Linked DNA regions of Ovis aries. The protein of the gene in region 1 interacts with the protein of each later gene in a pairwise test. Links are inferred from orthologs where the notes say so. Each region holds a gene or a part of one and is shown on either strand. Other genes may lie near its edges. The genes, in order: STX5 and STX3.

What was found.
Region 2: the proteins of STX5 (region 1) and STX3 interact in binary tests that used the Homo sapiens proteins (3 or more experiments, as listed by UniProt). The link is inferred for Ovis aries from reciprocal best matches to the Homo sapiens genes STX5 and STX3.

What each region holds. Positions count from the first base shown.
Region 1 is NC_056074.1:37,669,510-37,685,800, reverse strand, and holds the start of STX5 (syntaxin-5), read left to right. Parts: upstream 1-8,818; 5' UTR 8,819-8,959; intron 8,960-9,634; 5' UTR 9,635-9,653; coding exon 9,654-9,878; intron 9,879-10,846; coding exon 10,847-10,917; intron 10,918-11,081; coding exon 11,082-11,137; intron 11,138-11,254; coding exon 11,255-11,325; intron 11,326-15,958; coding exon 15,959-16,075; intron 16,076-16,152; coding exon 16,153-16,209; intron 16,210-16,291. Other genes in the region: WDR74 (WD repeat-containing protein 74), read left to right, coding at 2,035-2,098, 2,180-2,286, 2,372-2,493, 4,467-4,542, 4,675-4,821, 4,988-5,089, 6,383-6,483, 6,576-6,631 and 3 more; TEX54 (testis-expressed protein 54), read left to right, coding at 8,138-8,204, 8,312-8,517. UniProt on the Homo sapiens protein: Mediates endoplasmic reticulum to Golgi transport.
Region 2 is NC_056068.1:81,557,348-81,572,932, forward strand, and holds part of STX3 (syntaxin-3), read left to right. Parts: intron 1-2,685; coding exon 2,686-2,785; intron 2,786-3,512; coding exon 3,513-3,587; intron 3,588-4,654; coding exon 4,655-4,722; intron 4,723-7,515; coding exon 7,516-7,624; intron 7,625-8,653; coding exon 8,654-8,727; intron 8,728-8,829; coding exon 8,830-8,964; intron 8,965-10,630; coding exon 10,631-10,867; coding exon of another isoform or gene 10,868-10,964; 3' UTR 10,965-12,192; coding exon of another isoform or gene 12,193-12,276; 3' UTR 12,277-14,826; coding exon of another isoform or gene 14,827-14,838; 3' UTR 14,839-15,585. UniProt on the Homo sapiens protein: Potentially involved in docking of synaptic vesicles at presynaptic active zones. Apical receptor involved in membrane fusion of apical vesicles.

The DNA.
Region 1 (16,291 bases):
ACTAAGAGTAAGGCTGGCCCGGAGGCGAAAACACCGTTATCGCTTCTCGGCCTTTTGGCTAAGATCAAGTGTAGTATCTGTTCTTATCAGTTTAATATCTGATACGTCCTCTATCCGAGGACAATATATTAAATGGATTTTTGGGATTAGGAGTTGGAATAGGAGCTTGCTCCGTCCACTCCACGCATCGACCTGGTATTGCAGTACTTCCAGGAACGGTGCACCCCCTTCGGGGGGAATAAATACTGTTTCAAAGAAAAACTTAACATAAAACTTTACTATGGATGTCTTTTAACTGATCTAATAAAGCCATCTACTAGTAACGCATGCTTTCCAGATTTAAATATTTGCGTTATAAAGACGTTTTCAAAAAAAAACTTATATATTATTTTGCTTGGAAACTTAATACCCACTGTAGATTACCGAATTTACACTAAGGCCAATGAGGTCAAAATGTACTTGAAATAAAATGTCTGTAAGGATTTTTGTACATGTAAGATAATGGCGGTGGTTTCGGTGGTTGTGACGCGATTTTACGTATATTCGGGGCTTTTTAAGAGGTTCTACAAGAGCAAGTCCCTGTCAACCAAAAAACGTGGGGTCGACTCCCCGAGGCCGCAAAGATCATCTGGAGGAGAATAGTTTTTACCACCGCAATAGTCCTATCTGGAGAATCTCAGAAAAGCCTGGTGTACTGCAGTTCATGGGGTCGCAAAGATTCAATTGAGTGACCAGTACTTTCCGTTTTCACCGACCGGTATTCCTGCCTGAAGACGAGCCTGGCTCCAGGGCTGTAAGTCCCTAGAGTCGCCAAAGCCGTCGGGTCCGACTTAGCAACTAAATAACTACAATTTTAAAAATAGTGACGTGCACATATTAGAGAAGTTATTTGCCGTAGGGAAGATATTGAGTAGTGCTTCAGTTCAGTTCCGTCGCTCAGTCGTGTCCGACTCTTTGCGACCCTATGAATCGCAGCATGCCAGGCCTCCCTGTCCATCACCAACTCCTGGAGTTCACTCAGACTCACGTCTATCGAGTCAGTGCTTATTACACCTCTTTATAACGGGTAAGTTTCCTGATCTAGTTCCCTCTACTTGAAAACTGTAGGTGTGCACCGGGCCTTACAGCGAGGAAGACTTTCGAGCAGAGAAATAAATGGTTGAACGTCTCATAAAGGGAAATCATAGTATTTCAGGGAAAGAGATCGTTCAGATTTACTTTAGGGTCTGTGAGGGGCAGTAATGGTGGTTGTGGTGTGTTTCCGCATGGCTTGCCTAGAATGTTAAGCTCCGGAACTTATTGGCAGTTCTCCAACTAAGGTGGTATTCAAGATTGTTTCTCTGTGGAGGACAGATCTGCCAGGCAAGAGTGGGATGCTCTATGCTTACTGATATAATTTCAAGTAGCAAAGTTTCTGAGACTTTTATTTCAGACAAGTCATTCAAAGAAGGGGGCCGTTATGAGATTTTAAAGTTGGAGCTTATCTTTGGAAAAACTGTTTCTTTTAATTTTGTAGATCTTCATTGCCCATGGTGCTGTTTTATACCATCAGCAAATCTCAATGTGAGGAAATAAAAGTAACGCCCCTACCCTTCACTTTCCAAAAGTGAAGCTCATCGGTTTCATTTCCCCCAACTTTGTTCATTTTGTCCTATTACGCTTTAAGTTGAAGCCATGCGCTTCATTAGTGATTTGAATCGTTCCTTAAATGAGCTCTTTTCTTCTCTTGTACAGAAAACATACATTGCTTTAGAGCAGAGGAACAGACTAGGGCTGCCTGGATCCCATATCGTGGTTGAGATAGTATGCCTTCTACTCCAAATGTAAAATGGTCAAGTTACTGTTCAGATCTCCACAAACAAGTCTCCAGATTTCATTTTTGTAAAAAGCAAAACCAGCTAGCGGGGAGAATATGTTTTACTCTTCCGGTTCTTTAAAGGCCTAGAAATGGAGTTCCTCCGGATCCGACTAGACGCAGACTGGTGACGCAGGCGTTGCGCCGGAAGTGGGAGCCTTGGGTTCCCGAGCTCCGCTATGGCGGCTGCGGCTGCACCGTGGAACCATGTGTGGGTTGGCACCGACACTGGCATCCTGAAAGGTGGGTAGCGAGGTCGGGCGTCGGGAACTGCGGGCTTCGCCGTTTCGCTATTCTGACTCAACTGACGTCCGTGTCCCGCAGGAGTGAACCTTCAGCGCAAACAGGCGGCGAACTTCACGGCGTCAGGACAGCCCCGGCGCGAAGAGGCGGTGAGCGCCCTGTGTTGGGGTGCGGATGGCGAGACACAGGTGAGCGACCGCTGAGAGTCGGAGCTGGGAGTCTGGGGCGCGGCCGCCTCGCTCTCCTCGCCATCCTGTGCTCCTCTGCCCGCAGATCCTAGTGGGCTGTGCCGATGGGACAGTGAAGCACTTCAGCACCGAGGAAGGCAGGTTCCAGGGCCAGAGGCAATGTCCTGGAGGGGAGGGCACGTTCCGAGGCCTCGCCCAGGTCGACGGGTAAGACCAAACCCCTTGCAGAAACGCTCAGGTCGTAGCGAGAGCGTTGAGGCTCCCACTGGACGACCGAGTAGTGGCAATCAATCCTGAGGTGACATGAACCTGGTCTGCGTGACAGGGACGTTTTTCCTGCCTTCGTCCGTTCTTTCCTATAACAAACATTTATGGAACACTTATTCGGTTGTTTATAGGCACTGGGCAAAATCCAAAGGCTTAGGTAAACCACAGTATCTGCCATCATAGAGTTCGCTACTTCCAGAGTTTTGTTTTTTGGCATAATAACCTTTTGGATGACCCTGAGCACGTTATTTAATAGTTTGAAAGTAAAAGTGTTAGTCGCTCAGTCGTGTCCCACTCTTTGCAGCCCGCTGGACTCCTCTGTCTGGGGTTTTCCAGGCAAGAATACTGGAGCGAATTGCCATTTCCTTCTCCAGCGAATCTTCCCCAGTTTCCGGCACTGCAGGATACCACCTGCAGTGCAGGAGATTCTTTACCAACTGAGCCACTAGGGAAGTTTAGAATATGTTTTTAAATGCGGGCTAACAACCACTAACAAAGTGGCAAAGCTCCTAAAGAATAAGAAATGCTGGGTTGCAGGCTTAGTTTTCTTCTGAAGGTGAAGAGAGAGGCTATGAGCTGACTGTAGGTTTGGTGAGGTTAATTCTGACAGGTGAGTCTGGAAGGCTGGAGCGGGGGAGGAGGAATATTTGAACTTGGCCTTGAAGGTTGGGTAGAATTTTGACAGATGGAGAAAGGAGTAAGGGCATTCTAGAAGGAGGCTCCTGCTTGAGCAGAGGCCAAGGATTGGTGTGAGGCTACAGGGCACATCACAGGGAAGATAAACAGCATTTGGGGGTTAAAGAGAAGACTCTTGAGAGTCCCTTGGACTGCAAAGAGATCAAACCAGTCAGTCTTAAAGGAAATCAGTCCTGAATATGCATTACTCCAGTACTTTGGCCACCTGATACAAAGAACTGCTGGAAAAGATTGAAAGCAGGAGAAGAGAATGACAGAGGATGAGATGGTTGGATGGCATCACCAGTTCGATGGACAGGAGTTTGGGCAAGCTCCAGGAGTTGGTGATGGTCAGGGAAACCTCAAGTGCTGCAGTCAATGGGGTCGCAAAAAGTCAGACACAACTGAGCGACTAAACTGAACTGGGGGTTGAAGCCCAGGAAACTTTTTTTTCCCCCTTTTTAAAAATTTATGAGGAAGCATTTTAATATAAGATGAACGAGGTAAGTTGGGATTTAAGGCAAAGTGCTTTTAAGTGTCAGGTTGAGCAATCTGCGGTTTTGTAGGTAATGAGGCATGATTGGTTTCTGAGCAGGAAACACTGTGTTCAGAGCTGTGAGCCTGCAGGAACGTGGAGATGGATTGGAGACTGTTGCCACAGCCCAGGAAAACCCAGAGCCTGAACCTAGTTGTGGAGGGTGGGCAGATATGAGAAAAAGCAGAGGGCTTGGGCTGTACAGATCCTGGGGAGAGATTGGCTTGTCTGGTCTGACACCCAGAACAGGGAACTTGAGAGAGGAAGCTGGTGTTTGATTCTGACCAAACACTAAATCCAGAGCAGTCCCAATTCAGTGCTTTCAGAGCTCTGACTCCTGGTGACCACATCAAGAAAAACCAGCAGGGCCATGTGCCCCAGGTGGAGCTGTGGAATAGCAAAGACTTTGCAGTATCACAGTCTTGATTGCAGCTCTGATTCTGACATTTATAGCTAAGTGGCAAATCTTATAATTTTTTGTAGCTTCACTTTCCTTACTTATAAGACCAGTAAACCATTAGCTTGACGAGAAATTAAATAACAGCCATCAAGCCCCGCCCAGACCTGAGTTACCTGGAGGCTTCCTTAGGAACAGGGCTGGTAGGAGGGAGTCTAGTTCATATGAATTTGGGGGTGGGTCGACTGGGGACAGAGAATGCCATTTACCCCTGCTCTTTTAACTCTATCCTCCCTTTGCCTGCAGCACCCTCATCACATGTGTGGATTCTGGGATTCTTCGAGTTTGGCCTGACCAGGACAAGGAGGCATCCTCTGACCCAGTGAGATCCCCCCTCATCCTGATCCTGATGGTTGGGGAAGGTGGGGCCCAGGGTAGAGCCAATGAAGGCTTTGGAGGAGGAGGATTAAGGATCTGGAAGTGACTCTCATCTCCGCTCTCTCATTCTTTTCAGCTCCTGGAACTGAGGGTGGGCCCTGGGGTATGTAGGATGCGCCAAGACCCAGCACGCCCCCACATCGTTGCCACAGGTGGGAAGGAGAATGCTCTGAAGGTGTGGGACCTGCAGGGGTCTGAGGAGCCTTTGTTCAGGGCCAAGAACGTGAGTGATGGTGGGTGGAGAGGACCTGGGTCCGAATTCCCATGAGTCAAGGCCACTGATTTTGAATTGGAGACTGGCAGGGTTGTAGGGGATGATGACAGAGGGCAGAAGGAAGGGACACACTGAGACCCTCCCAGCTCTGTCCCTTATCTACCGACCCCACCAGGTACGGAATGATTGGCTCGACCTGCGGGTTCCCATCTGGGACCAGGACATACAGTTCCTCCCAGAGTCACAGAAGCTCGTCACCTGTACAGGGTACCACCAGGTAAGGCACACATCTAACCCCTAACTTTTTATGGGCTCATACAGCTTCCTGGAGAAACAGGAGGCTTGCTCTTTGCAGGCTCGGTCCCCACCATTTGGCACAGCCACTCTTCTCTCCATCCTTGAGTCATCCCTGAGCTCCCAGAAGAAGGACCACTTCCCCAGCCGCGTGTTCAGCCGAGTGGCTAAGCCAGTGACCTTCACTTACTACATTCTAGGAAGGAGTTGCTTGAACTGTAATTCTTCCTTTTCTTCCCACCTGGAAGAAAGAAGGGAGTGTCCCCTTCATAGTAGAATCACGTGGGGCCCATGTTATGAGAAGAAATGGACTGGGTATCAAGAGAACGGGGTTCTGGTCCTGATGGCAGTCTCTAATTTGCTTTGGGACCCAACTATGACCCTCTAGTATCTGTAATATCTGGCTGGTCTCTGCTCCTCAGCTGTATAGGAAAGGCCCAACTGGGGATCTTTTCAGCTGGGCTTTTTTTTTTTTTTTTGACCACGCTGCGTGGCAATCATACTTCCCTGATCAGGGATCGAATCTGAAGTGGAAGTTCGGAGTCCTAACCATTGGACCACCAGGGAATTTGAAATTCTAAGACCCAGGCAGGACTGGGTGGGGCTACATTTGCCCTGCTTCCTCTGCTCTGCATACTGAAGTCTGCTCTTGGTAATACACTTCTGCTCAGAACACATATGAGGGCTTCCTCTCTCCTTCCTGTCCAGGCTTAACTTTTTTCTCTGTTTGACTTCAGCAACTCTGACAGTTGGGCCAGCTTGCTCTTGCATCATGAAAGGGGAGTATAGATGGAAAGCTCACACATGCAGACCATGGGGATGCTGCTGCTCCTAGCCTGGGGGAACCTCTGTTCTCAGCTCTATATGTTCGTGTTCCTCAGCAGCTCTCCTCTACTCCTCAGCACTCAGAGAAGAAGGGTGTGTTTCAAATGAGAAAGTTTCTCTGAAAGAGTGGATTGTAAAAGCAGTGTATGGGGTAGGGGGGCTTCCCTGGTGGCTCAGTGGTAAAGAATCTGCCTGCCAATGCAGGAGGCTTGGGTTCAATCCCTGGGTTGGGAAGATCCCCTGAAGAAGGAAATGGCAACCCATTCCAGTATTCTTGCCTGGGAAATCCCATGGACAGAGGAGCCTGGTGGGCTACAGTCCATGGGGTCACAGAAGAGTTGGAAACAACTTAGCAACTAAACAACAACAAATGAGGGGAAGTGAAGATGTAGAGGTGCCAGGGGGCTATGCAGAGTCAAGGTGCTGTGGTGATGCCTCAGCCTTCTTCCAGGTCCGTGTCTATGATCCAGCCTCCCCTCAGCGCAGGCCAGTCCTTGAGGCCACCTACGGAGAGTACCCGCTGACAGCCATGACCCTCACTCCTGAGGGCAAGTGAGTGTGTAGAGGGCAAAGTGGGGCTTGGGGAGGACTCGGGGGCTTCTGCTGACCAACCCCATGTGTGTCTCTCTGGTTCTCCTCCTCAGTTCAGTGATTGTGGGGAATACTCATGGGCAGCTGGCAGAAATTGACCTCCGGCAAGGTGAGTAGACCAGGGAGCCTTGCAGGGGTCAGGGGTGGGGAGGAAGGGCAGGATTCCCCCCTGACGGGGCGGTGGAGCTGCTGAGCCCTCTTTCAGGTGCCAGAACCAGGTTCAATCCTGGTTCTGCCAACTGTGTGACCTTGGACAAATTACTTTGTCAATTCCCTGTGCCTTAGTTTCTTCACCTGAAAAATGGAGATGTTAATGCTAACTGCCATGTCAGCATTATGTTAAACGAGGATTAAATGGTGAAAGAAAGAGATTTGAACAGAAAACACTCAATAAATGGTTGTTGGCTGACCAGTTAGCAGTGATACCTGCCCCCTTTTTCCAGGGCGCCTGCTGGGCTGTCTAAAGGGACTGGCAGGCAGCGTCCGAGGGTTGCAGTGCCACCCTTCAAAGCCCCTACTAGCCTCCTGTGGTTTGGACAGAATCTTGAGGATACACAGGATCCGGAATCCACGGGGCCTGGAGCATAAGGTGAGAAACCACTCATTCCTGCCTCTTGTGCCCTCCTCCCTCCCCCATTCTTATTTCTGTTTCAGCAGACTTGGCCCCTTAAGGTCCCTCATCTCTTCTAGGTTTATCTCAAATCTCAATTGAACTGCCTCCTCCTGTCAGGCAGGGATAACTGGGAGGTAAGCTCTTGGGTCTGGGAATGTGGGAGCTAAGGGTACAGGTATGAGGATCTCTCTGTGAAGAGGGAAGGGAAGCGGCTGGAACTTAGACCTGAGACTGTCCATCCATCTGCTGGGTATAGTCCTGACAGGGTCATTGCCAAGGGTAACATAGGAGCATGGATGAAGTGAAGTGAAAGACATTCAGTCATGTGTAACTCTTTGTGACCCCCATGGACTGTAGCCCACCAGGCTTCTCTGTCCATGGAATTCTCCAAGCCAGCATACTGGAGTGGGTAGCCATTCCCTTTTCCAGGGGATCTTCCTAACCCAGGGATTGAACCCAGGTCTCCCACGTTGCAGGCAGATTCTTTACCAGCTGAGCCACCAAGGAAGTCCAGGAGCATGGATGGGCATGGTTTTTAGGAGCAGGAAACAAGGGGTGGTGCCTGGAGGAATGATTCTCCTCCCTGTGGGTCTGTTATTGTACCTCTGACTCCTGAGGGCTTCTCCCACTCACCAGGATGAACCGCAAGAGCCTCAGGAGCCCAGCAAGGTGCCCTCAGAAGACACAGAGACAGATGAACTTTGGGCCTCCTTGGAGGCAGCTGCCAAGCGGAAGCTCCCCGATTGGGAGCAGACCCAAGGCACTCTCCAAGCCAGACAGAGAAAGAAGAAACGGCCTGGGTCCACCAGCTCCTGAAGAGCTTGTGCTCACTTTGTAAATAAACAGCTTAAAACGTACCATGACCTTGAGCCTTTTGTGATGGGAGAAAGTGGTGGCGGCTCCCTGAGCTGGGGTGGTGGGGGTATCTGACGTCACAAAAGCAGGGCCAGGAACCTGCCGGCTGGCGTGGGTGGCACCGAGTGCAGGGCCGCATGCGGGGCCATGGGCTGCTGCCAAGATAAGGACTTTCAGACTTCGGATGAGCAGGCCAAGGAGGCCGGGTCAGAAGGTGGGACCGGAGACACACCAGGGGGCCCAGGGAGCTGGGAGTGGGGACTGGACCACCAGGAGGTTGGACTAGGGAGACTAGAACTGAGCAGCCTCGCATCCTCACAGGCACTGATGCGGACTCGGTGGAGCAACGGGATCGCAGGTCGAACGAAAGTCTTTTGATCACTGTGCTGTGGCGGCGGCTATCCATGTTCAGCCGTCGGGGTTCCTCTCGGTCAACCAAGAGGCAGGCAGTCCAGAATCCAAAGCCGGCGAGTAGGATCCAGGAGTGCGATCAGGAGAGGATCCAGGAGGAGCCGGAGAAGGGGTGACTCCAGCCCCGTTCTCACTCCTCCGCAGCCTTCAGAGAATAAAGTTTCTAACGTGTACCTGCCTAAGCGCTTGTGCCTCTGCTTTGGGCACGTAGAGCGCGGGCACCACCAGGGTCGCGGGCTCTTTAAGGCTCCATCCCTGAGGCTGGCCAGTCCCCTGGGGCCCCGGCTCTAGTTCCTTGGGGGCGGGGCCACAGGGGTAGCCTAGCCAATGGGAGGGCGAATTAACACCTGCGTTTTGGTCGAGGGGCGTGCCTCTTGGGTCGCCGAGCTCTAAGAGGCGTGGCACCGCCTTCCCGTCACCGGGGGTGGGGTTACGTGTGGGTGACGTGGCGGCTTCTAGTCTTTGGTCGGGTTTCGGCGGCTTCGGCTCCAGGGGGAGGAGGAGGTGACGATCTGGGAGATTGTAGCAGTGGCGGCGGCGGCAGGCGGCAAAAAGGAGGTAGGACTCGGTAGGGTCTGGCTGCCGTGCCTGCTCTGGGCCGCTCTTTCCGGGGACGGCGCCGGGCGGGGGGAAGGGAACCAGGGCCAAGCGGGCAAGTCCTGCCGGCCCGGCTCGGAGTGAGCGAATACCTCGCTGTCCAATTGGAAAAGCCCCTTTAAGAAGGACGTCCGCGTTAGCTAATCAGTGTTTGCAGACTTCCAGAAGGTGGGACTTGGGCGAGGCGAGGGTGGGACTTCCTGCTTCAAATAAACACCTAGAGATTCCCCCCTCCGCCCACCGAAGTGTGTCCCTCTGAGGTGGTCCGTCACCGTTTCTCCCTGAGGAGTCGGAGGAACTCTTGGATACGAGAGGGCCCAGTTAGAGCCTGGGGCAGTTGCACGGGACGGGCTGGAGCCACAGGACCTGGCTCTGGCCCTGCCTCTACTTCAGGGCCCCGGCCCGCGCTGTGGCCGCCGGAACCAAGTTGGAAGAAGAGTCTGAGGAGGGGGACGGCTTGGGCCGCAGATGAAGCAGGATCCTGTCAGCTGCGGGCCGGTCCCAGGATCTGCGTGTGGCTTCGGGCTCGAAACTCCGTGCCAAGTTCAGAGGGGCCCCGAAGAACTGCTGGTTGGGGCGGGGGGATTGGTGGAGAAGGAGGCTGCCTGGGGAATGACACTCTCCCCTCCACCACAGTCCGAGGTTATGCGTCTCAATGATCCCGCGGAAACGGTACGGATCTAAGAACACGGATCAGGGTGTCTACCTGGGTCTCTCAAAGACACAGGTCCTGTCCCCTGCAACTGCTGGCAGTAGCAGCAGCGACATCGCCCCTCTGCCCCCTCCAGTGGCCCTGGTCCCTCCCCCTCCCGACACCATGTCCTGCCGGGATCGGACCCAGGAGTTCCTGTCAGCCTGCAAGTCCCTGCAGAGCCGTCAGGTAAGGACCTGGACTGGGAGAGGCAGTGAGTCTTACTCAAACCTGGGAGAGGGGATGCTCCAGCACCGTAATTCTTGGGGGAGCCTGATGGAGACCTGGTCCAGCTTGGGATGGTAGGATCTAACAAGCAGCAGAGAAAAGTTGGGCTAGCTAATCTAGAGGCAAGGATCCAGACTTTGTTGTTGTTTTATTTAATCAGGAATCTAGGGTTGCTATTCTGTAACGAATACTTCAGGGCAAGAAGTGATTACAGTATATTTGGTTTGGATAAGGAACAGGTTCTAGAAAAAACCTTTATTTAGCTCAGAGACAAACGCTTTAAATTCTCATTCCAGTATAATTCTACCAAGTTTGCTTTGTGACAACATGGAAGTTAATCTAGTTGGACCTCAGTTTTTATATCTGTAAAATGAAAGAAACTTTCCAAGTAAAGTAATTTTAATAAAATCACCTGGGAGTGTTTTTTTAAAAAATTTGATTCCTTTGGTCCAGACTTTCTGAATCCAAGTGGAAACTGAGTAACTGTGATTTTAAATATTTTTATTGCTCAGTTCTTGTTTACAATTGCTCTTCTATATCCACTCCAAGAGCTTCCTGTTCATCCTCTCAATTCCCCAGTTGGAGGAATAGAATGGTAATACTAGTTACCATTTATTCAGTGCTTATCATGGACCTGGTATTTGGCTAAAATAATTTATAACCCTTATGTTTTTTAATCTTAGCAACAACAAAAGGAGATGTGTAGAATTGTCTCCATTTTACATAAGAGGAAACAGAGATTCAGAGCGGTTTAAGTCACTTGTCCCCAACCCCCCTTCTAGTAAGTGGTGGCATCACATTTTGTGTGGCCTGTCCAGCAGAGGATGCCGCTAGTGCTAGAGGGCGAGTTTAGAGGATACCTGGGGAATAGTGAAAGCTGGCAGTGGGGAGGGAAAACTAAAGTTTTACTTTTTGACGTTGCCTTTCAGAATGGAATCCAGACAAACAAGCCGGCTCTGCGTGCTGTCCGGCAACGCAGTGAATTTACCCTCATGGCCAAGTAAGTTGGGAGAAGTTATGTGGTGGGTTGGCTGGTGTCTGAGGAGAGGTAGTCTTGCCTGCGGTGACCTTGGTGGCGAGGACTGGGATTGGTTGTGCTGGTGCTAAGGTGGGAAAGGCCCTCTCCTTCCCTTCCACAGTGTTCTCATTTGTGCTCATTTGCAGGCGCATTGGGAAAGACCTCAGCAACACATTTGCCAAGCTGGAGAAGCTGACAATCTGTGAGTGTTCCTGAACCGTTCAGAGCTGGGCAGTGAACACCGGAGGGCTGAGGAACCATACTGTCTTGAGTCTGGTCTCCGACCTCACCTGTGGTGGCTTCTTGTTTGTCTCTGCAGTGGCAAAGCGCAAGTCCCTCTTTGACGATAAGGCAGTGGAAATTGAGGAGCTAACTTATATCATCAAACAGGTGAGCGACTAGCGGTCAGGAGAGTCGGGCATTCCAGTTGCATCACTTCCATCTTTTTCCCTTGCTCTAGAGTCTCAGAGCAAGTTTCTCTAGCCAACTCCAAACATCCTACTCCTCTGTTGTGTCAGTGGTCATCTACCATGTACAAAGCTGGACACTTAGCACACAAGCATTATGAGGCAGATACCAGCCTTTAAGAGCTTATTGTCTGGAAGAGGTATCCAGTCCCATAAACTCACACTTACAATGAATAGGCAGCAAGTGGCACAGAAAAGATCATACAAAAAGATGAACGAGATTCTGGGTACACTTGGAAAGATTTTATCGAGGAGGTGAAAACGGAGCTGGTTTCGAGGCTTGTGGAGAGGCACCAGAAGAACATTTGAGACAGAGGAAACAGTGCGCATCGGCATGTCTCATAAAAGGGAAGAGTTCAAGCCTTTGCTCAGATGTCCTGTGCTCAGGGAGGCCTATCTTGCTGTTTAATGCCCCAGCCCCTCCAGCTCCGATCTCCCTTACCTGGCTCTACTTGCTTGTTTATAGCACTTGATACATTCTAACAGTCTCTATAAAGCTGTGTCTGTTGTTTGTTTCCTCCCACTTACCTCCTGGACAAAAAAGAAAATAACAAATGGGAATGCCACAAGAGCAGAAATTTTCTTTCTCTTTGTTCACGGATGGATCCCAGACATCTGTGACAGGGTCTGGCGTGTAGTGTGCTCAATTGTTTAATTGTGTCTGTCTCCTTGTGACCACATGAACTGTAGCCTACCAGGCTCCTCTGTCCATGGAATTCTTCAGGCAAGAATACTGGAGTGGGTTCCCATTTCCTACTTCAGGGGATCTTCCCGACCCAGGGATCGAACCTGTGTCTCTTGTGTCTCCTCCATCGGCAGGCAGACTCTTTACCACTGCGCCACCTGGGAATTCCCTGGCATGTAGTCGTTGCTCAATGCTTGTTGATCACATGAGTGATCGGCAGCAGATGAGGCTGAAATTGTAGACTGGTAGCTGGTTTTAAAGACCATTGTGGGGCTTGCAAAGGAGTGTAGAATCAAAGACAGTTAGAACCTGGGTTCCAGTTCTGTCTGCAAGACACTGGTATAGCAGCTCTAACGATATGATTTGTTTCTTTCCCAGAATAATGTAATAAGGATAACGTGAGAAATTGAATGTCCGTGGGAGGAAAAAAAATGCCCTGGAGCATGAATGGGCAGAGAGGCGAGGGTAGAGGCTTGTGCAGTTGTCCGATATGAAGATGATTATGGCAGAGGCCAAAGGGCAGACATGTTGAAGAGATGCTGTGCTGAATGGGAGAGGGTTCCATCAACTCTTGGGGTGGTGTTATTACTCTTTTTAAAATATTTATGTGTTTGCCTGCATTAGGTCTTCGTTGTGACACGTGGGACCTTCACTGCGTCCTGGGGGATCTTTCCTCATGGTGCACTGATTCTCTAGTTAACGGCGTGTGTGCTCAGTAGTTGTGGCATCTTGGCTTAGTTGCTTCAGACCATTTGGGATCTTGGTTCATTAACCAAGGATTGAACCCGAGTCCCCTGCTTTGCAAGGCAGATTCTTAACCACTGGACTACCAGGGAAGTCCCTGTTGGAGAATTATTGCATAGGTAACCACTGACTGGATTGAGACAGACTTCAAATCCCAGGCTCACCACTTATAATATGACCTTGGGTAAGCTACCTTATCCTGGAGAAGGAAGGGGAAAGATCCCCTAGAGAAAGAAATGGCAACCCACTCCAGTATTCTTGCCTGGAAAATCACATGGATGGGGGAGCCTGGCAGGCTACACCCCTTTTAAAGAAAAAGGTGATGATAATAGTGCCCACCTTGCAGGGTTGTTGTGAGGCTTCACTGGTTTATTTTTTCAATCCCTCACATTACTGAGTGACTTTTGGCTGCCTGGTTCTGGGGATTCAACAACAAAAAAGACCCATGTGATCCCTGCCTTTGGGAACTTCGTTTCCAAGTGGGTGAACCAAACAGTATCTGCTGCTGCTACTGCTAAGTCGCTTCAGTCGTGTCCAACTCTGTGCGACCCCATAGGCAGTAGTCCACCAGGGTCCCCTGTCCCTGGGACTCTCCAGGCAAGAACACTGGAGTGAGTTGCCATTTCCTTCTCCAATGCATGGAACTGAAAAGTGAAAGTGAAATCGCTCAGTTGTGTCTGACTCTTAACGACCCCATGGACTGCAGCCTACTGGGCTCCTCCATCCATGGCATTTTCCAGGCAAGAGTACTGGAGTAGGTTGCCATTGCCGTCTCCAAAACAGTATATAAGTAAACAGAAAATAAATTTCAGGTGGTGGGACATCCTATTAAATAAGGAGAGTGAGCTCCTCAGGGTAAGGGACACTTTATATGGGGTGATCTGGGATGGCCTAGCTGAGGAAGGGACATGGAGACCTGAATGGTAAGGAAAAAATTGATCATCCAAAGATCGGAGGGGGCACATTCTAGAAAGTGGGAGCAGCAAAGGGAGAGGCCTGAGGCCTGAGTGACTTTGATACATTTGACACATGTGGAAGAGGCCAGTGTGGCTGCAGCCAGCCAGTGAGAAGGAGGCCAGTGGGGGTAAGGCCAGAGGAGTGGGCAGACCAAGACCATATAGCTATGTAAGCTGGTGAGGAATGTGGACTCTTTTCTAGATTTAGTGGGAAGCTCTTAGAAGATTTTAAGAGTGGAGATGACATACATGCCCTGTTTTAGGTTTGGAGGATCACTCTGATTGTTGTGTAGAAAATGGCTTGTTGGGGGCAGACTCTGAAAGGAAGGTCACTTAGAAGGCTCTGGGCGATTTTCAAGAGAGGACAGTTTGGACTAGAGTGGCTTTGTTAGAGAAGAAAATGAGTGGACATATTCAGAGCGTATGTTGGAATCAGCTGGGTTCTTTGTGGGTTCCTTATAGATTAAGGGAAGGGAGGAATTGAAAATGACTTGCTAAGTTTTTGGTCTGAGCAGCTGGTGAATGGTGGTGCCATTTACCAAAATGGCACAGAGGAAGGCAGAATAGCTTTTCAGGGCAGGTGGGGGATAAAGAGTTGCTTTCTGTGTTAAGTTGAAGAGAAAGTCATAAGCTGCTTAGCAAGTTGTGTGGTGCACGGTAATCAAACCCAGGGCTGCTGTTCTGTTCACACAGTCTGAATACATAGTAAACGCTCAGTGAAGGTTGTCGTTGTGCTGTTGCATAGAGGTTGGGTTAAAGAGTTGTCCATATGTGACTTAGAAGCTTTTAGCTTGGGCACCAAAGTGGGGAGTAGTGGCTTTTTCTCAGCTCCTGGGGGAGGAGATTTTACGGGAGAAAACCTGGAATACAATTTCGGCTACATGGCTGTCAGTACCAGAAATTGTCCAGGGGACTCGAGAATCCTTGGGGCTGGGGTACTAATTCAGGGGACTGTTGGAGGGATTCTAGAAGTTGCCTGATCTAGTATTTTTTAGCCTATTTTTTGAGCTATTTGTGACCCCTTTCCCCTCCCCCTCCTCTTTCTCCTCTGGTCCTGCCCTGGACCTAGCTGCTCTGGGGCAAGCTTTCTCTGCCACTCCCGGTCAGTCCTTCATCTCCCTTGTTTTATGAGGCCCTCAGCAGGCAGGATTGGGAAAGCAGAGGATCCACCGGCCTCGTGTAGAAAGCCTGGCTGTGCTACTAACTCCTGTATAAAGTTCGATGAGTTACACCTTTCACTCTTTTGCAATAGTAATTTTAAATATATTAATTAGAATAATTTAAAATAGAAATTTAAAATAATTTAAAATATGTGTGTGTGTTTAAGTCCCTCAGTCGTGTCTGACTCTTTGCAACTCCATGGACTGTATAAGTCTACCAGGCTCCCCTGTCCATGGAATTGTCCAGGCAAGAATACTGGCATGGTAGCTATTCCCTTCTCCAGGAGATGTTTCTGACCCAGGGATTGAACCTTGGTCTCTTGAATCTTTACCATCTAAGCCACCAGGGAAGCCCATATATATATTTGGCTGCACCAGGTCTTAGTTGCAGCATGCAGCTTCACTGCAGTTCAAGATTCTTCAATTTTCATTGCAGCACACGGGCTCTTTAGTTGTGGTGTGTGGGATCTAGTTCCCTGACCAGGGATCGAACCTGGGCCTCCTGCACTAGGAGTGCAGTCTTAGCCACTGGACCCCCAGGGAAGTCCCTGCAGTAGTAATTTTTTAAAAGGAATTGTGTATATAGAAACCATTTCATTGATGTTTCTAGGACTCCTCCCATCTCCTGAGTACAGCACAGATGCTTTGTTGGTCAGCACGCTCTGGGTCTGAGATTCTGTCCTTTTAAGGGGTCTGTGGCCATGAACAGGGCCTCACAGTAGTGAGTAGGGCAGTAGGGTGGAGGGAGTAAGCAACTCAGTTCTTTACAAACGGACGAGGCCATGTTTCACCTCTTTCCGGCTCTACTCTTCAAGGACTGAGCCAGAGCAAGCTCCAGAGGTTGGACTGCACCAGCAGGCCCTTCTGGTCTGACTGAGACAGCATCACCCCTGCTAGTATGTCCGTCCTGCCATCCCTGCCAGCGATGTCCATGTGGGAAAGGCACTGGCTAAGGACCCCCCCCCCCCCATCCCCCGGTTGATACTGTTTTTCCGTTGGCTCTTTCACCAGGACATCAATAGCCTCAACAAACAAATCGCCCAGCTTCAGGACTTCGTGAGGGCCAAGGGCAGCCAGAGCGGCCGGCATCTGCAAACCCATTCCAACACCATCGTGGTCTCCCTGCAGGTGGGACCAGGGAGAGGGGGCGGCAGAAGGGAGGAGGCGTTGTCTTCTCTGGCTGACCCTCTCTCCTCCTCTTCTAGTCGAAACTGGCCTCCATGTCCAACGACTTCAAGTCAGTTTTAGAAGTGAGGACAGAGGTGAGAAGAAGCTGGGTAGGAGGGATAGGAATCTGGGCATGAGGGCCCCAGAGGGCAGTGGGAAGGGCAAGGGCAACAGTGT
Region 2 (15,585 bases), on another chromosome or scaffold:
CCTCTCCACCATGACCCGCCCGTCTTGGGTGGCCCTACCCGCCATGGCTCATAGTTTCATTGAGTTAGACACGGCTGTGGTCCGTGTGATCAGATTGGTTAGTTTTCTGTGATTGTGGTTTTCATTCTGTCTGCCCTCTGATGGAGAAGGATAAGAGGCTGATGGAAGCTTCCTGACGGGAGAGAGACTGAGGGGGAAACTGCGTCTTGTTCTGACGGGCAGGGCCGAGCTCAGTAAATCTTTAACCCAATTTTCTGATGATGGCTGGGGCTCTTTCCCTCCGTTATTTACCTGGGGCCAAACTATGGTGGAGGTAATGAGGATAATGGCACCTCCGTCAAAAGGTCCCATGATGCACTGCTACACTCAGTGCCCCCGGCCCTGCAGCAGGCCACCGCCGGCCCACGCCTCCGCCGGAGACTCCTGGACACTGAGGCAAGTCTGAATCAGTCTCTTGTGGGGTCACAGCTCCTGTCACCTGGGTCCTGTTTGGGCTGGACTGGATGAAGCACAAGCTGGAATCAAGATTGCAGGGAGAAATATCAGTAACCTCAGGCATGCAGATGACACCGCCCTTAGGGCACCCTTATGGTGAAGAACAACTAAAGAGCCTCGTGATGAAGGTGAAAGAGGAGAGAGAGAAGTTGTCTTAGAGCTCAGCGTTCAGAAAACTAAGATCATGTCATCCGGTTCCATCACTTCTTGGCAGACAGATGGGGAAACAATGGAAACAGTGAGAGACTTGATTTTTGGCTCCAAAATCACTGCAGATGGTGACTGAGCCATGAGATTCAAAGACGCTTGCTCCTTGGAAGGAAAGCTATGGCCAACCCAGACAGCATATTAAAAAGCAGAGACGTTACTTTGCCAACAAAGTCCATCTAGTCGAAGCTATGATTTTTCCAGTAGTCATGTATGGATGTGAAAGCTGGACCATAAAGAAGGCTGAGCAGTGAAGAATAGATGCTTTTGAACTGTGGTGTTGGAGAAGACTCTTGAGAGTCCCTTGGACTGCAAGGAGATCCAACCAGTCCATCCTAAAGGAGATCAGTCCTGGGTATTCATTGGAAGGACTGATGCTGAAGCTGAAACTCCAGTACTTTGGCACCTGGTGGGAAGAACTGACTCACTGGAAAAGACCCTGATGCTGGGAAAGATTGAGGGCAGGAGGAGAAGGGGCCGACAGAGGATGAGAGGGCTGGACGCCGGCTCGACCCCTGGTCTGGGAGACCCCACGTGCTGCGGGGCGGCTGACCCACTTGCTACACTCCTGAGCCTGTGCCTCGAGCCTGGGGCCGCGGCTGCTGAGCCCCGGGCGCGGCTGCTGATGCCCCTGCGTCTAGAGCCGGTGCTCCGCAGCGAGAGACGCCCTGCCTTGCGGAGCTTGCACACCACAGCGAAGACCCAGTGCAAGCAGAAATACGAGTGAATATAAACGAGGACTCGAGTTCCTTCCCCCGCTTGCTTTGCCAGTTGCAGAGCTGTGATCAGGTTTTCTTTTCCTTTTTTTAAAGAAGTGGATTGTTCATTGGAGGAAAGGGCTGCTGGAAGCTGCATCGTGAGTTGTCTTTCCGTTGCATCTCAGGGGCTAAGACCCTCCTGTGTGGCATCTTACGAGGTTTCTGTTTGTTGACTGTGGCCGTGTTGGCATGCCCCTCACTGTGGAGGGCAGGCAGGTGGCTGTGGAGGCTTCGAGACCTCTTCCAAGCCAGCTGTGCCCTGCTCATTGCAGCCACCCCCGGAGGGGCTGTGGGGCCGGGGCACCTGGTGCCTGTGAAGACAGAGCTGAGGCTGAGCTTCACACGCGGGTGGCAGGGTCCATGCGGGTCAAGGCACGCCTCCCGGTGCTTTCTTTATATTCAGTTGGCTGCACCGGGTCTTAGCAGCAGCGTGCAGGAGCTTCCTCAGCTGTGGTGTGGACGCTCTTGGTTTCAGCCCGTGGGCTCTGGTTCCCCAACCAGGGATTGAACCCAGGCCTCCCGCACTGGGAGCGGGGTGTCCTAGCCGCTGGGGCTCCAGGGAAGCCCCGGGACTTTCCCATGCACACCTGGAGCTGAGGAGCCTCTGCACGGGCGGGCACGCTCCAGGGTCCCGACGGTCGTCCAGGGCGGTCAGCTGGTCGGAGGCGTGTCCAGGGGCGCTGGGCAGTCCCGCCGGGCAGCCGGGCTTCGGCGCTCTCCTGCCTCTCCTGGGCGGCTCTCCTGCCTCTCCTCTCTCTCTCTCTCTCTCTCTCTCTCTCCCCCCCCCCTTCGCTGCGTCTCACTCCGCCCGTTCTCTCCCTTTCGCTGTCTGCCTCTCTGCTGTCTCCCTGCCTCTCCCTCTTGCTCACTGTGGCTCTGGCTTCTGGAGCAGCGGAGGCCCTGCCGGTGTCCTGAGCCTTCCCTCTGACGCTTCCTTGGGTTTTCCTGGCTCTTCTTGACTCCAGCCGCGACCCCCCTCCGAGGTGGGACCCCCCTCCGAGGTGGGCGGCCGGTGGCTCCTCAGGGAGCGGTGAGGCCGGAGCCTCGTGGACGGCTGCCGGCGCGCCCCTCCCTGGCTGGATGGGGTGGGCCGGGCGCGCCCTGGGGCCGTGGGCCTCGGGAGGCTTGCCCGGGGCCACCGCCTCCCTCCACGAGTGCGGCGCTGGGCGCGGAGCTCTGCTGGTCTGCGGCCAGGCTCCCCCTCCTGACGCCTCTCTGCTCACAGATCGAGGAGACGCGCGTCAACATTGACAAGATCTCCGAGCACTTGGAGGAAGTGAAGAGGCTCCACAGTGTCATCCTGTCTGCGCCCATCCCCGAGCCAAGTGAGTGCCGCGCGGGGCTCAGGCGCCCGCCGGGTCCCGCTGGGGGTCGCAGGGGAGGGCGTGTTCCCTCAGGCCCGCGTGCCCGCGTGTCACCGCCGCCCTCCTCCCCCTCCCCTGCTCTCACCGCCCTGTTGGCGCCTGTCTGTTCCGAGGCCGCGCCGGCTCTCCGCCGCAGCGCGCGGGATCTTTGCTCTCTGTTGCAGCATGCAGACTCTTTAGTTGGGGCCTGTAGGATCTGGTTCCCTGACCAGGGGTCGAACCCGGGCCCCCTGCATTGGGAACGCGGAGTCTTAGCCACTGGACTCCAGGGACGCCCCCGTCCCCTCTGCTTTTCCTGGCTCCACTGGGCCAGACTCTCGTCTCCTTCCCAGCGAGCCCAGCCCCGTGGCTGGCGGGGACTCTTGCTGCTGCCGGCGTGCCTTGCCTCTGCCCCCGCCTTGGGTTTCTGGAAGGCACACCTGGGCTGTTTTCTCTGCTTGGAATGCTTCCCCAGACCCTCCTTTTCTTCCACGAGGTGTTTTTATTCTGCGGGTCGAGGGCAGGGTGCCTGGAAAAATGCCTTTAAAAGCTAAGCTCACTGCGTTCTGATGATGGGTGTCTGGGGAGCCCCTGGGGATGCGTACTGCCCTGGACGCCTGAGAAAGCACTACGCCTCCTCTGCTGATTGTTGTCGCTGACAAAGTGTTCAGTCTCTGCTAACTGATTCTGCCGGCCTTTGTTTACCCAGAAACCAAGGACGACCTGGAGCAGCTCACGACCGAGATCAAGAAGAAGGCCAACAATGTGCGGAACAAACTGAAGAGTAAGGGGCTAAGGGAGCAGCCAGCCCCCCAGCCGCCCCGCGTCTGGGGTCCAGCCCTCCTGCGGCAGAACACGTCCTCATGGGGGTGACGTCGCGCGTGGCCTCTTTGCTCGTGATCTGGGCTCCGTCTTGGCGTGACGGATGATAGCCCCAGAGCTTTGTCTGTGGTTGAGTGAGGCGAGAACTGAAGCCTGGGGACGGGAGCGGTGTGTGCTTTCAGCTGGTGGATGTCTGGTGGCTCGGGTCCCTAAACTCAGTCCCTCGCCTTTTCCTGGTCCCGTTTCCTCCCCCGGCAGCTGCGCACGTGTGAGCAGTGCTGTCAGTGATACGAGGATGCCGGGCAGATCGTCTGCAGGCGTCTCCTGGGGGCCAGGTGTGTCACCTCCCCCCACGCCCCCTCCCACCCCTCAGCTGGGGCAGCGTTCTGTGAAGCCGCTGTCGCAGATTCAGTTCCTCTGGGAGCCCAGAAGCCTCCTCAGGTCCGAGGCTGTCGTCTGCATTCTTGCCCCACTTACTGTCTTTGGTGATGAGTGCGCGCCGTTGGTCAGGGAGAGAAAGTGGCGTTGCTGAGCCTGAGGTATCATTTCTTCGCCCGCTTTGGACCGTACTGCTTGTTTCCATGGGGATGGAGTGGAGGTTTCCGGTGGCCGCTTCCAGTCCGGCAGTGAGCCTGTGCCCCTGTCTGCGTGTTCGTGTTTGATTTCCATGTTAGCATTGCGAGGGGGGCCCTGCAGCGTGCCCATTGTACAGAGCGGAGACCAGGAAGGCTGAGCGCTCGCGGCTTTTCCAGGTGGCGTGCCGGGATGTGGCTGGGAAGGGACTTGAGCCCGGGTCTCTCGGTGATGGGGACTCGTGCTGTTAACTGCTGCGCTGGGGCATGGCCGAGTGAGACCCTGCAGTGAAGGTGTCCTGGGGCTCAGACGTGAGCCGGGTGTCGAGACAGGACCTGCCTGCCGTTGGTCTCCTGGGCCGGTGTGTGTGTTTGAGAGAGGAGGCTGCATCGCACGGTGAGTTTCTTGGAGGAGAGCAGGGGCTGCGTTGCTAGAATAAGCTTCTCTCCCATCCAGGCATGGAGAGGCATATTGAGGAAGACGAGGTGCGGTCGTCGGCAGACCTTCGGATTCGGAAATCCCAGGTGAGATTCTTGGCCTAGCAACCGTCTATCCCAGTCTTTAAAAATTTTTTTTCCCTTAGCTGTGGAGTCTTTTTAAATTTTAAAAAATACTTATTGAAGTAGAATTGATCACAGTGTGGTGCTTCAGATGCGGCAAAGTGATTCGGTCAGGACATACACACACGCACGTGTGTCTTGCTCTTTCAGACCCTTTTCCGTTGTAAGTTATCACAGGATATCGAACATCGTTCCTCGTGCTGCGCAGTGACCCTGTTCCATATATGGCAGTGTGTATGTGTAAGCCCCATACTCGTAATTTATTCCCCCACCTCCCCTTTGGCAACTATGAGTTTGCTGTCTCTCTGTTTTGTAAATAAGTTCATTTGTGTTGGTTTTTAGACTCCACATGCTTCATACCAGTGATGTCGTATGACATCTGTCTGTGCCTTGCCGCGTGTAAGTGAGAGACTCTCCGGCGCGTGCACGTCGCTGTGAGTGGCCGTATTTCATTCTTTTCTCGCGGCAGTGTTGCGCCGCGTCTTCTTTATCCACTCATCTCCTGATGGACACAGATTGCTCCCATCTCTTGGCTCTTGTGACTAGTACTGCGGTGAACACTGGGGTCTGTGTATCTTTTCTAATTAAGAGTTTTCATCTTCTCTGGATCTGTGCCCAGGACGGGGGATTGCCGGATCGTATGGTGGCTCTGTTTTTAGTTTCTTAAGGACCCTCCCTCCTGTTCTCCATGACACCATTTACGCTCCCACCGACAATGTAGGAGAGTTCCCTTTTCTAGCTGTGGATCTCTAAAAACAGACAGACAAACAGACCTTATTTGGAACTCAGTGTGAAGAGCTGGTAGCGGGGAGCTGCCCAGGTCAGAGTGGGGGACAGGGCTGAGACCAGCCCTGGTGGCCCCTCTCGCACCGTCCTCTCAGGAGGCGCCTGAGGTTCCCAGAGCACAGAGGAAGGTGTAGTGAGCCTCCTTGGTTTACAGGAGAGGAAACTGAAGTCTGCTCTCTGGAGACTGTTGGTCGTCGGTTGTCCAGCTTGGAGTCAGGCTGCTTGGCGGTCATGAAAGATACGACCCTTGTCACTGAGGAACGGGCATGACGTTCCAGTGCCACAAGGAAGCTCTGACATAGGACCGCAGGAGAGAGGGTAGGAAGATAGGACCAAGTCCTGTGCTCCCAGCATCGGGAGAGCCTGGAAGGACTGAGGTCCCAGAGGAGGCTGGGCCCTGGGTGGGCAGGGTGTCAGCGCGGGCAGGCTCAGGGAAAGGTTGTCCTTGGAGGCATGTGGGCAGGAGTGGTGTGTGTAGAGTAGGGGTGGTATAGGGTGGGTAGGGGCAGACGTGAAGAGAACAGTCTGTCTAGAGACAAAAGTTTGTCACAGGATAGTGGGGGTTGCGTTTTTGGTAGAGAACCCAGTGCCATATTCCAGGGGCCTTCGACTGCGGTCTCGGGAGTTTGGATCTGATCAACTAGCTGGTATGCATTTACTTTGGGTTGCAGTCTGTTAGGAGGATAATCTGCTAGCCATTTGAAAACTGGCTCAGCGTGGGGCACGTGGGTCTCTCATTGGGTTTTTGCAGTGATTTTGGTCTGAATTTGCCTGGTGATGGTGGGTTTTAAAAAAGTGTAGATATTGGTGATTTGGCAAAGGAAAAACCTTTGTTGGGTCTTGATGCTGAGAAGTGGGCAAGGAATAAAAATGATGATGATTTGAGTTTAGGCACCAGGGCTGTTGATGGAAGCATTGAGTCAGAAGCAAGAAGATTTGAAGCAGGAAAAGCTGGGTGATCCGTTTGAGTAAGAACGCAAGGGTCTTTGGATGTGGAGGGGAGTCGGGCAGGGCCTCTGGGATTCCCAGAGTATCTCCTTTGGCCTCAATTACTCTGTGAGTTCAGCAAGACAGGTTAACAGATAACTGAAAACATGCTTTGAAAAGGTGAGCTGGCTTTCCCCGTGGTGTGAAGTTAGGAAGCCAGAAACACCGAGTCTTGCCCCTGGCCTTTGGGGTTTTGTTTTTCATTTCTTTCACACTTTTGAAAGATCACTTTCCAGTTATAGTTCTCACACAATCTTGGGTATATTCCCCCTGCTGTAGAATGCATCCTCGAACCTGTCTGACACCAGGACTTCGTGCCTCCCCTCCCGCACGCGTCTGCCCCCTCTCCGCCTCCCCGCTGGCCGCCGCCAGCTCACTCCCCGTGTCTGAGTCTGCTTCCTCTCTGTTACGGCCATAGTTCGTTGTGTTCTTTAGGTTCCACATATCAGGTGATGTTATACAGTACTTGTCTTTCTCTGACTTGTTTCACTTGGCATGATACCGTCTAGACCAGCCGAGGCTGTCACCAATGGCAGGGTTTCACACCTGACTGCTGGGTAGCATTCCCTGTGCGTGCGTGTGTACGTGTGTGTGCACCTTCTTTATCCAGTCCACTGTTGATGGACGCCTGGGGGGCTTCCGTCTCGCGGCAGCTGTGAGTGATGCTGCTGTGAACACTGGGGTGCCCGTATCGTTCTGAATTAGTACTTTTTACACAGATATATACGCACATATTTTACACATGCATATATTTACACACACACGCACACCCAGGAGTGGAGTTGTTGGGCCACATTGTAGCTCCATCCTCAGTTTCTGGAGGAATCTCAGTCCCCAGTGGCTGCACAGTCTGCCTTCCTGCCAAGAGCTGCCCTAGGCCTCGCGGTCCCGGGTCTGGTGCTGCTGTGGGCGAGGCTGGGGCCGGGGCGCTGAGCCTGTGCCCCTCGCTCCTGGGGGCTCACAGCCTTGACCTTGTCCCCGCAGCACTCCGTCCTGTCCCGGAAGTTTGTGGAGGTGATGACCAAGTACAACGAGGCCCAGGTGGACTTCCGTGAGCGCAGCAAAGGGCGGATCCAGCGGCAGCTCGAGATCAGTGCGTGTCTGCAGCGCGTTCTGTGCCCCCTCCTGGCCTGTCGGGCGCTGGTCTGTCCGGTCGTCAGGGCCAGGGAGACGGGGCCTCCAGGTGGCTTCTGCCTTCCCTTTTGTGCCCCAGCCAAGGACGGGGCTCACGGCACTGCCGCCGCCTGGATGTCGTGTCTTAGGCTGAAAGAGGGTGGCTCCGTGCTACCAGGTCCAAGTGTTGGTTGCCATGGGAACCAGCATTTCCACATCCATGGAGGGAAATACCTGCTTCCTGGGGCTCATGGCATCTTTGCTGCCTCTTTGACAGCAGGGAGTGGTGCAGGTTGCCCCGTTTGTGTAAAGGAGTTAACACAGCCTTACCCTTTAGGAATCGGTAACTTTAGGAGTAACTTTAGGAATCAGTAGCAGTCAGGGCTCCACAGCGCAGAACATGCTCTGAGTGCAGGAATTAAATGGACATGGTCGCAGGCAGGGAGGGCAGGCCGGCCAGGGCCTGGGGACAGGGTGCGCTTGGGCAGAGCAGGGTGGGGTAAGTCGGTTGGAGGGAGGGCTCACCTGGGAACTGGCCCTTTGTCCTGAGGACTTTGGACCCGGTGGCAGAGTGAAGGGGGCCAGGAGATGTTCCAAGCTGGAAAGGAATATAATCCGACACAGACTTCAGGAGGGTAACTGCTGATAAGGTTGAGGCTGGATGGGGTTAGGGGAGACATCGGAGAAAGGCGAGCAGGCTTTAGAGGCCACTGTGCTCCCACTGGGATTTCCAGGTGGTTCAGTGATAAAGAATTGTCTGCCCATGCAGGAAACACACGAGGCATGGGTTCGATCCCTGGGTTGGGGAGATCCACCAGAGGAGGAAATGGAAACCCACTCCAATATTCTTGCCTGGAAAGTCCCACGGGCAGAAGCCTGGTGGGCTGCAGTCCACGGGGTCGCAAAGAGTTGGACACAACTGAGCGACGGAACATGGCCGTCTTCAGGAAGCTTTTGAAATGATGAGCTTTGATCTTCTATCTGATGCTCTCCTTCTTTTGTTATAAAGCCGGCAAAAAGACTACCGACGAGGAGCTGGAGGAGATGCTGGAGAGCGGGAACTCTGCCCTCTTCACCTCGGGGGTGAGTGATGGTGCGGGGCTGGGGGGTGGGAGGCCCGCAGGGGTCCTGGGGGCCGTGGCGGGCCTGGGGGCCGACGGTCCATCTCTCTGCGGCCCACTGTAGATCATCGACTCTCAGATTTCCAAGCAAGCCCTCAGCGAGATCGAGGGCCGGCACAAGGACATCGTGAGGCTGGAGAGCAGCATCAAGGAGCTTCACGACATGTTCATCGACATCGCCATGTTGGTGGAGAACCAGGTGAGGCGCTGGGTTCCGCGGGGGTGGGGAGGGGGCTTCCTGAGGAGGGCGGGGGGGTCCGAGAAAGCCACGGGGGGGTCGAGTCGGGAGGGAGAAGCATCGGGAATTGGTGTAGCGGAGTCCCAGAATCCCAGTACCCCAGTAGAGGAAGGCACCTGGGATGCTGACGCTTAGGGGGTTGCCTCCTTGTTATTCCTGCTGGTTACTCTGGCCTGGAAGTCATGTCTATGTAACGTGAGGTGTGAAGTGCTCTGTAATGTACCTGTTCCCTCCGGCCTTGGGATCATCATCATTGTTAATTTTTATTAGTGACGCGGGTTCTTAATGGTGATGCCTTAAAACACTCTTCTGATAGGAACTATCAGCGTTTCACTGGTGACGCTGAAAACATGGGGTCTTTCCCCCAGTTTATGGTGGAAAGTTAGGTGTCACAGAGATTTTTGTGTTTTCCCACTTTTGCTTTTTCTTCTGTATGAGTTTTTCCAAAAATGTTGACTGTTTTTTTTTGCTGAGGAACAACAAAAGCAATGAAGGGACAGCAAAAATAATATCAACGGGAAAACTCGAGTCCCTCACGGAGCCTGCTCCGTTCTGGGCCAGCTTGCCCAGGGACGGACGGCCCTGCTCCCTGCCTGTGGGGTCAGTGTCTCGGGTCCCCTGGCCCCTGCTTCTTAGGGTGCAGTTAAATTCACCGCCAGGCAACGGTGTGGAGCCACCCTCACCGTGAGCTCCCAGTGGCTCTGCCACCTGGAAAGGATCAGAACCTGCTTCCCGTGTAGCAGGAATCCTAATGGCGCCCGAGCGCCACGTGGCTGGTTTTGACACGTTTCCTGCTCTGGGCTCGGGCACCTCTGCTCCATCCCCTTTCGCCCTTGGAGACCGTTCCTCCCGTCCCTCCATCTGCACTCTTGTTTTTCTCCCCACACTGCCTTGCCGAGGAACTGGTTTGAGATTCAAGTGATGGTAAGTGCCGTTCTCTCTGCAGAAAGCCAGGGGTTGCGTGGAATGAAGGTCTAGGTGGGTGGAGGGAATTCCCATCTTAAGATGCACAGAAATCAATTGGGAAGACTGAACTTCAGGTCAGGAAGTAACAGCTGGGGAAAGGTCGGGAATCTTGCTGAGTGACCATGATCTCTTAACCAGATAACTCAGGTAAAACCAACGTCTTGTTACTTACAGGGCCTGGGGATACCTTAGAGAAAGCAAGCGTCCCCACCTCAGCTGTTCACTGAGCACCTGCCGTGCACCAGGCACTTTCTGTAGTAGTGGGCACTTGGTCCAGACTGAGCGAGCTTGGCTCACATCTGAGTGACCAGGAAGAGGCCAGCCTTCCTGGCAGCGCGAGAGATGCGTTCTGGCTTCTCTTCTCACGTTTCATTTTAAGAAAAAGGGGCGCGGGGCACCCTTCAGGATATTCCAGGTGTCTAGACCACGTGCTCCTGGTGTGCAGGGTGCTGTCTGGCAAGACATAACTGAGTGGACATTTCGAGGCCGGGTGGCCGCCGCCTCGGCCTGGGAAAGCACCGGCCACCACGGGGAGGTGTGCAGGGTTACCCCGTGGAAGGCCGCATGGGCAGGTTTCCAGGCGCTCCCCATGGCCTCGCACGCGAGCTGGGACCGTCCCGGGGTGCGTGTCCAGGGTGTGACCGGACTCTGTCCTCCGCAGGGGGAGATGTTAGATAACATAGAGCTGAATGTCATGCACACGGTGGACCACGTGGAGAAGGCTCAGGAGGAGACCAAAAGAGCCGTCAAGTACCAGGGTCAGGCCCGGAAGGTGAGCCCCCCGCCACCCTCAGAGGACAGGTCCATCGTGTGCGCTCTCTCGCTGTCTCCTCCCTCTCCCCGTCTCTGTCTCTGCTGCCGCCACCTCTTGCATCCGGGGAAAGGGCGCCATGATTGACCGTATTGAGAACAACATGGACCAGTCCGTGGGCTTCGTGGAGCGGGCCGTGGCAGACACCAAAAAGGCGGTCAAGTATCAGAGTGAAGCTCGCAGGGTGAGCCCCGTGTCTCGGCGGGACCAGCCGGCTTCTCCTCTCCCTGGTCGCCCCCATCCATGTCCCTGAGATCCCCCTGCCTTCCCTCTGTCCAGCCTCCTCCTTCATCAGCTCTCCCTAGGGAATAGCTCCCCTTCCCTCCCTGGCGTGTCCCGCATGGATCTGGCTCCCACCATCTCCACCCGAGAGCCCACACTGGCAGGCAGTTCTGCAGGATGGACCCGTCACTGCCCAGCGTTGCTGCTGCTCTGCTAGACAGAGCTCTTGGCCCATCCGGCATCACGCGGCTCCTCTGCCCTTTAGGAGCTTCCTCTGCGCTGCCTTCCACTCGGCCCACACCTGTCCTCTTTGGTCTCTCTTCCCTGCTGTGAACCCGGCTGTGTGCTGATGGCTGTGTCAACGCTCAGGGCACACCTGTGTTTTCTACTTGCTAGATCAAACAGTTGAGAATCACTTTAGTCCCTGGCCACCTAGGAAGCGTAGGAACCTGGGATTCAAATTCGGGTTCCAGCCCGGCTCTTCCCATCACCTCATCCTGCTCCACTGCCTGCCCCCACCTTTAGTTCTGGTGTCCCTGTTGCTTGGAGCATCTCTGCCCAGTCACCGCAGTAGCCAGCTCTGGTGGGGTTTGCTTTTTAGCCTGCTCTTTTCTGACTTTGTGCTCTGATATTTCCATTCTTCAGTTCTTTTTCTTCCAACTTGTTGCTTGGGCAGGTGTCTAGGGAGCTGGGAAGTTATTTCACATGATGAATCCTGTCCTGTTCACAACAGGACCTGTACTTTCAGGCCCTCAGTCACTGTCCTGGGTTTGACAGGTGGGAGTGTTCTTTGGGGGAGAGATGGATGGGAATTTGCATTTAGGACTGTGTCAAATACATCTTCATACTCCCCTTGAAAAGGAAAAGCTCAGTCCCGTTATACCTTGGTTTACTGCTGCTTAGAGACCCCGTGACGGTTGCGGTTACGTCTGTCCACACGTGAGGGCTGCAGTGTGAGCTCGGAGCTGAAAGAGGCTCCGTATTTACACCTGCTGGCACTGCTAGTGCAGAGGCAACTTAACAGGAGGTCCCAGCAGAGCGTCTTTACGTAGGGATGTCAGCTTTCCATTTCACTCTATCTGGGTCGAGAAGATGCTTCCGGTGCAGAGGTGGGTTTTGGATGGCTGACTGCGGCTTTTTGGTGGTTTGTAATAATGACTTGTTTTTATTTCTCTTGTCCCTCTCTCCAGAAATTGGTAATTATCATTGTGATAGTAGTTGTGTTGCTGGGCCTTTTAGCGTTGATTATCGGACTTTCCGTTGGGCTGAAGTAAGGGCGGCCGTGCTGACATGTAAGTAAAGGGAAGGCTCTCGGGACTCTGGACCGGCTCGCTCTTGAGAACCTAGCCTGGGATTTCCGGTCCTGCGTCTCCTCTCCCGGCTGTCCGCAGACACGCCGAGTGCTCACACTGTCAGTCCTGTGCCTGCTCTGACCTCCGTCTGGTCCTCTTCTTGGGTCCTGGCTGCAGCTGGGCTCGGTCTCTCGTTGGTTTCTACCCCGAGGGGTCTGGCTCTGGTCTTGTCGATGTGTTCCTCGTTTCCCGAGCACCTTGCCTTCACTCCCGGTCCCGAGCAAGCCTGCTCCTCAGCTGGGTGCAGTCTCCAGCCGGGATCCGGGGTATGTCCTCCAAGCTCTCGCTGTCTTTCAGGGCTCTTGGGCTTTGCCTTCCCTTCCTTTCCTTGTAAACGGAGCTTTGAGTCAGGGTTCATGGCTGTAGGGCTGTGTTAGTGGCTGACTGGCTGGATCTCCAATCGCTAAGGTGTTTTGAGTGTGCAGTTGTGCCAACACCTAATACAGGCATCATTGGCTCCTCACACCACCTTCAGGAGACAGGCGCTGTTATCATCTCTGTTTTATAGGTGAAGATGCTCAGGCTTAGAGAAGTTAAGTAACAGGGCCAAGTTTGAGCACACAGCTAATAGTGGACCTAGGGGAATTCTGTCAGAGCTACTCTTCGTAAAACAAGGTGGCCATTTATCATCGTCTGTAAAGTCTAGAGAGCCTCAGAGGATGGCGACTTTAAAATTTAGGATATTAATTTGTAAAAAATCTGGTAAAAACAATAGAGCTGGCCACTGACTCAGGGCTTCATGTATGTAGCCACAGCATGGCACAAGAGACCTGTTATTGGGACTGCGAAGACTTCCGAGGCTTCTCAAGTGTTTTTCTGACTAAAACATAGCATTATGTATGGTTAAGGACAGACTGGTAAACGCTGAAAAGGTGAGCGGAATTAACTTTTAATATTATTGCCAATAATCTTATGGCACGTTCACACACTCGGATGAGGTTTTACATCATTCAGACTATGTTATCAACAGTTTGGTACCCAGTCACAAGGTCACAAGCATCATTTCTCAACACTCAAATCTCTTTGGGACTCTCATGTTCAACAAGATTGTGACTATACTCTCAATTATTCAACATGTTCCCAATGTTGGAGGTTTGCTATTATTGTTTTGCTATGACTAACAGTATGATTAACTTTTATAATGTTTTCCTCTTTCTTACAAATTCATGGAAGGTGGGTTACTGCGGTAATAGATACACAGACGTGATAGCAGAGCTGACCCTTCACTTCTTGCCTGTTTGCCTTTTTTTCCTTCCTCCTCCTCCCATGTGACTAGAGGATCTCAAAGTCAGATTATTTTTAACCCTAAACATTCAACTTGATACATACATCCACTAGGTGACTGATCTCGCATAAGTAATTAACTGATTTACTTTTTTTCCCTCCTGGTACTGGGACTCTAGTCCTTGACATTTTTTTGTTTGTAGAATTTCGTTCTGACGCTTCACAATCCCTCTGGAAAGGATATTAACATTAAGAAAAGGTATAATAGTCAGTGTCTCTCCAAATCCATGGATGAAAGATGCCTTCCAAATTCACAGGGCCCCTCACCATCCCTAATTCCAGGAATTCAAAATGTAAATCATTTTGTAAAATGAGGAGGCAGATCAGTCCATTGTTTTTAGCTGACTTACCCGACGTCTAAGATGCTAAGTTGCTGAGCCCTTGCTGGGTCGCTTCCCCGTTCCCTGACTGAGTCCAGGCCGACCGGCACACAGGCTTGGACTCGGGAGTCAGACCTCAGAACAGAAACACCCGACGTCCGTGCTCCCCACCTGTGCTCTAGGATAACAGTATCCCCCCCATTTTCGTTGGGGAAGCTCGGTGGAGCTCAGCCCGCAAGGCAGAGCCGCCGTGACAGGCCTCCTGGACATTTCCGTGTCCTGTTCGCTGTGCCTTTCTGCTTCTAAGACAGGCTGGGTGGGCGCTGAGGGAGTGAGAAGACTCCAGTGCCAGCAGGCCTCGGAGCCGCATTCGGAAGGAGCTGATGGGGGCCCTGCACACAGCACGGGTGTCTTTCTCCAGCAACCGTGCCTCGCCACCCACACGTCCCCCCTCAGAGCTGACAGCCCCTGGGAAGGGTTCTAAGAGGCCCAGGGGTTTCCCTTTTTTCCCCTTCTGTCTCTTGTAACAGGGCTTTTGGATCTTCCCAGGTGGCTCAGTGGTGACGAATCCGCCTGCCAAGCAGATGTGGGTTCGATCCCTGGGTCAGGAATTTCCCCTGGAGAAGGAAATGGCAACTCACTCCAGTATTCCAGCCTGGGAAACCCCATGGACAGAGGAGCCTGGCGGGCTGTAGTTCGTGGGGTCACAAAGAGTTGCGTATACCTGAGCATCTCAATCAGACCAGGACGTTGGGCTCTTGCATGCTGGTGCTTCCTTCAGGCCCCGTCGCGGATGCCTGTCGGCTGTCGGGTGTGTGTTGACTCTTCCACGACTGTGTGCAGCTCATCTCTCCTCTCCGTCTTCCAGGTGTGTGGCTGAGTCTTACTGTCACTCTTCACCGTCACCCGGGGTGCTGACCCGACCAGCATCTCCCCCCGCCCCGCCTGGCGTAGAGCCCAGTTTCACCCCAGCCTGGTGTGGCCGCCACCCCTGCCTTCAGATGGGAGCAGAGTGTGAATGGCCTTCCTGAGAGAGGGAGCCCCGTTCCTTTGTTTCCCTGTAACCACCCCTGGGCCTGACCCGGCAAACGGTCTCGCCCGGGAGGAGCCTGAGCGCCTCCCCACCTTTCCTACCCCACCGGCTCTGAAGCGCCTCCTCCGGGACTGTGGGAACCACACCGGCTTCCGTCTCCCCTCCGACGTGTCAGACTGTGTCCTGTGCCTTGGGGAGCCCACCCGAGACCTCCCCAGGTGCTGTACTGTCTACCTCACGGAGTGTCCTCCCCAGCACTGTAATGGTTTGTTTTAAAGTGGGATATCTTTAACAAAGCAAGGGGATTCTTCCAAGTTTGGCAACAGTAAGACCTGGGCCGGAGTCTCCTGCCTGGCAGGATCCCAGTCCTCCCAGCTTATGGTCCTTGTCTGAAAGCAGGAGGCGCGGGCAGAGGTCGCTGTGGTCTCGGAAGCTGCCTTCTCTGAAGTGCAGCCTTGAAACGACGCTCCCAGTGTGCTGAGCTCCGTGGCCACCTTCCACCTCTGTCTCTGCTGTCCTTCCTCGTGTGGACTCAGGGACGCACCGCCTGAGACCGTCATCTGAGGTTACTGTCTGTCTAGGCTGGGCTGTGGC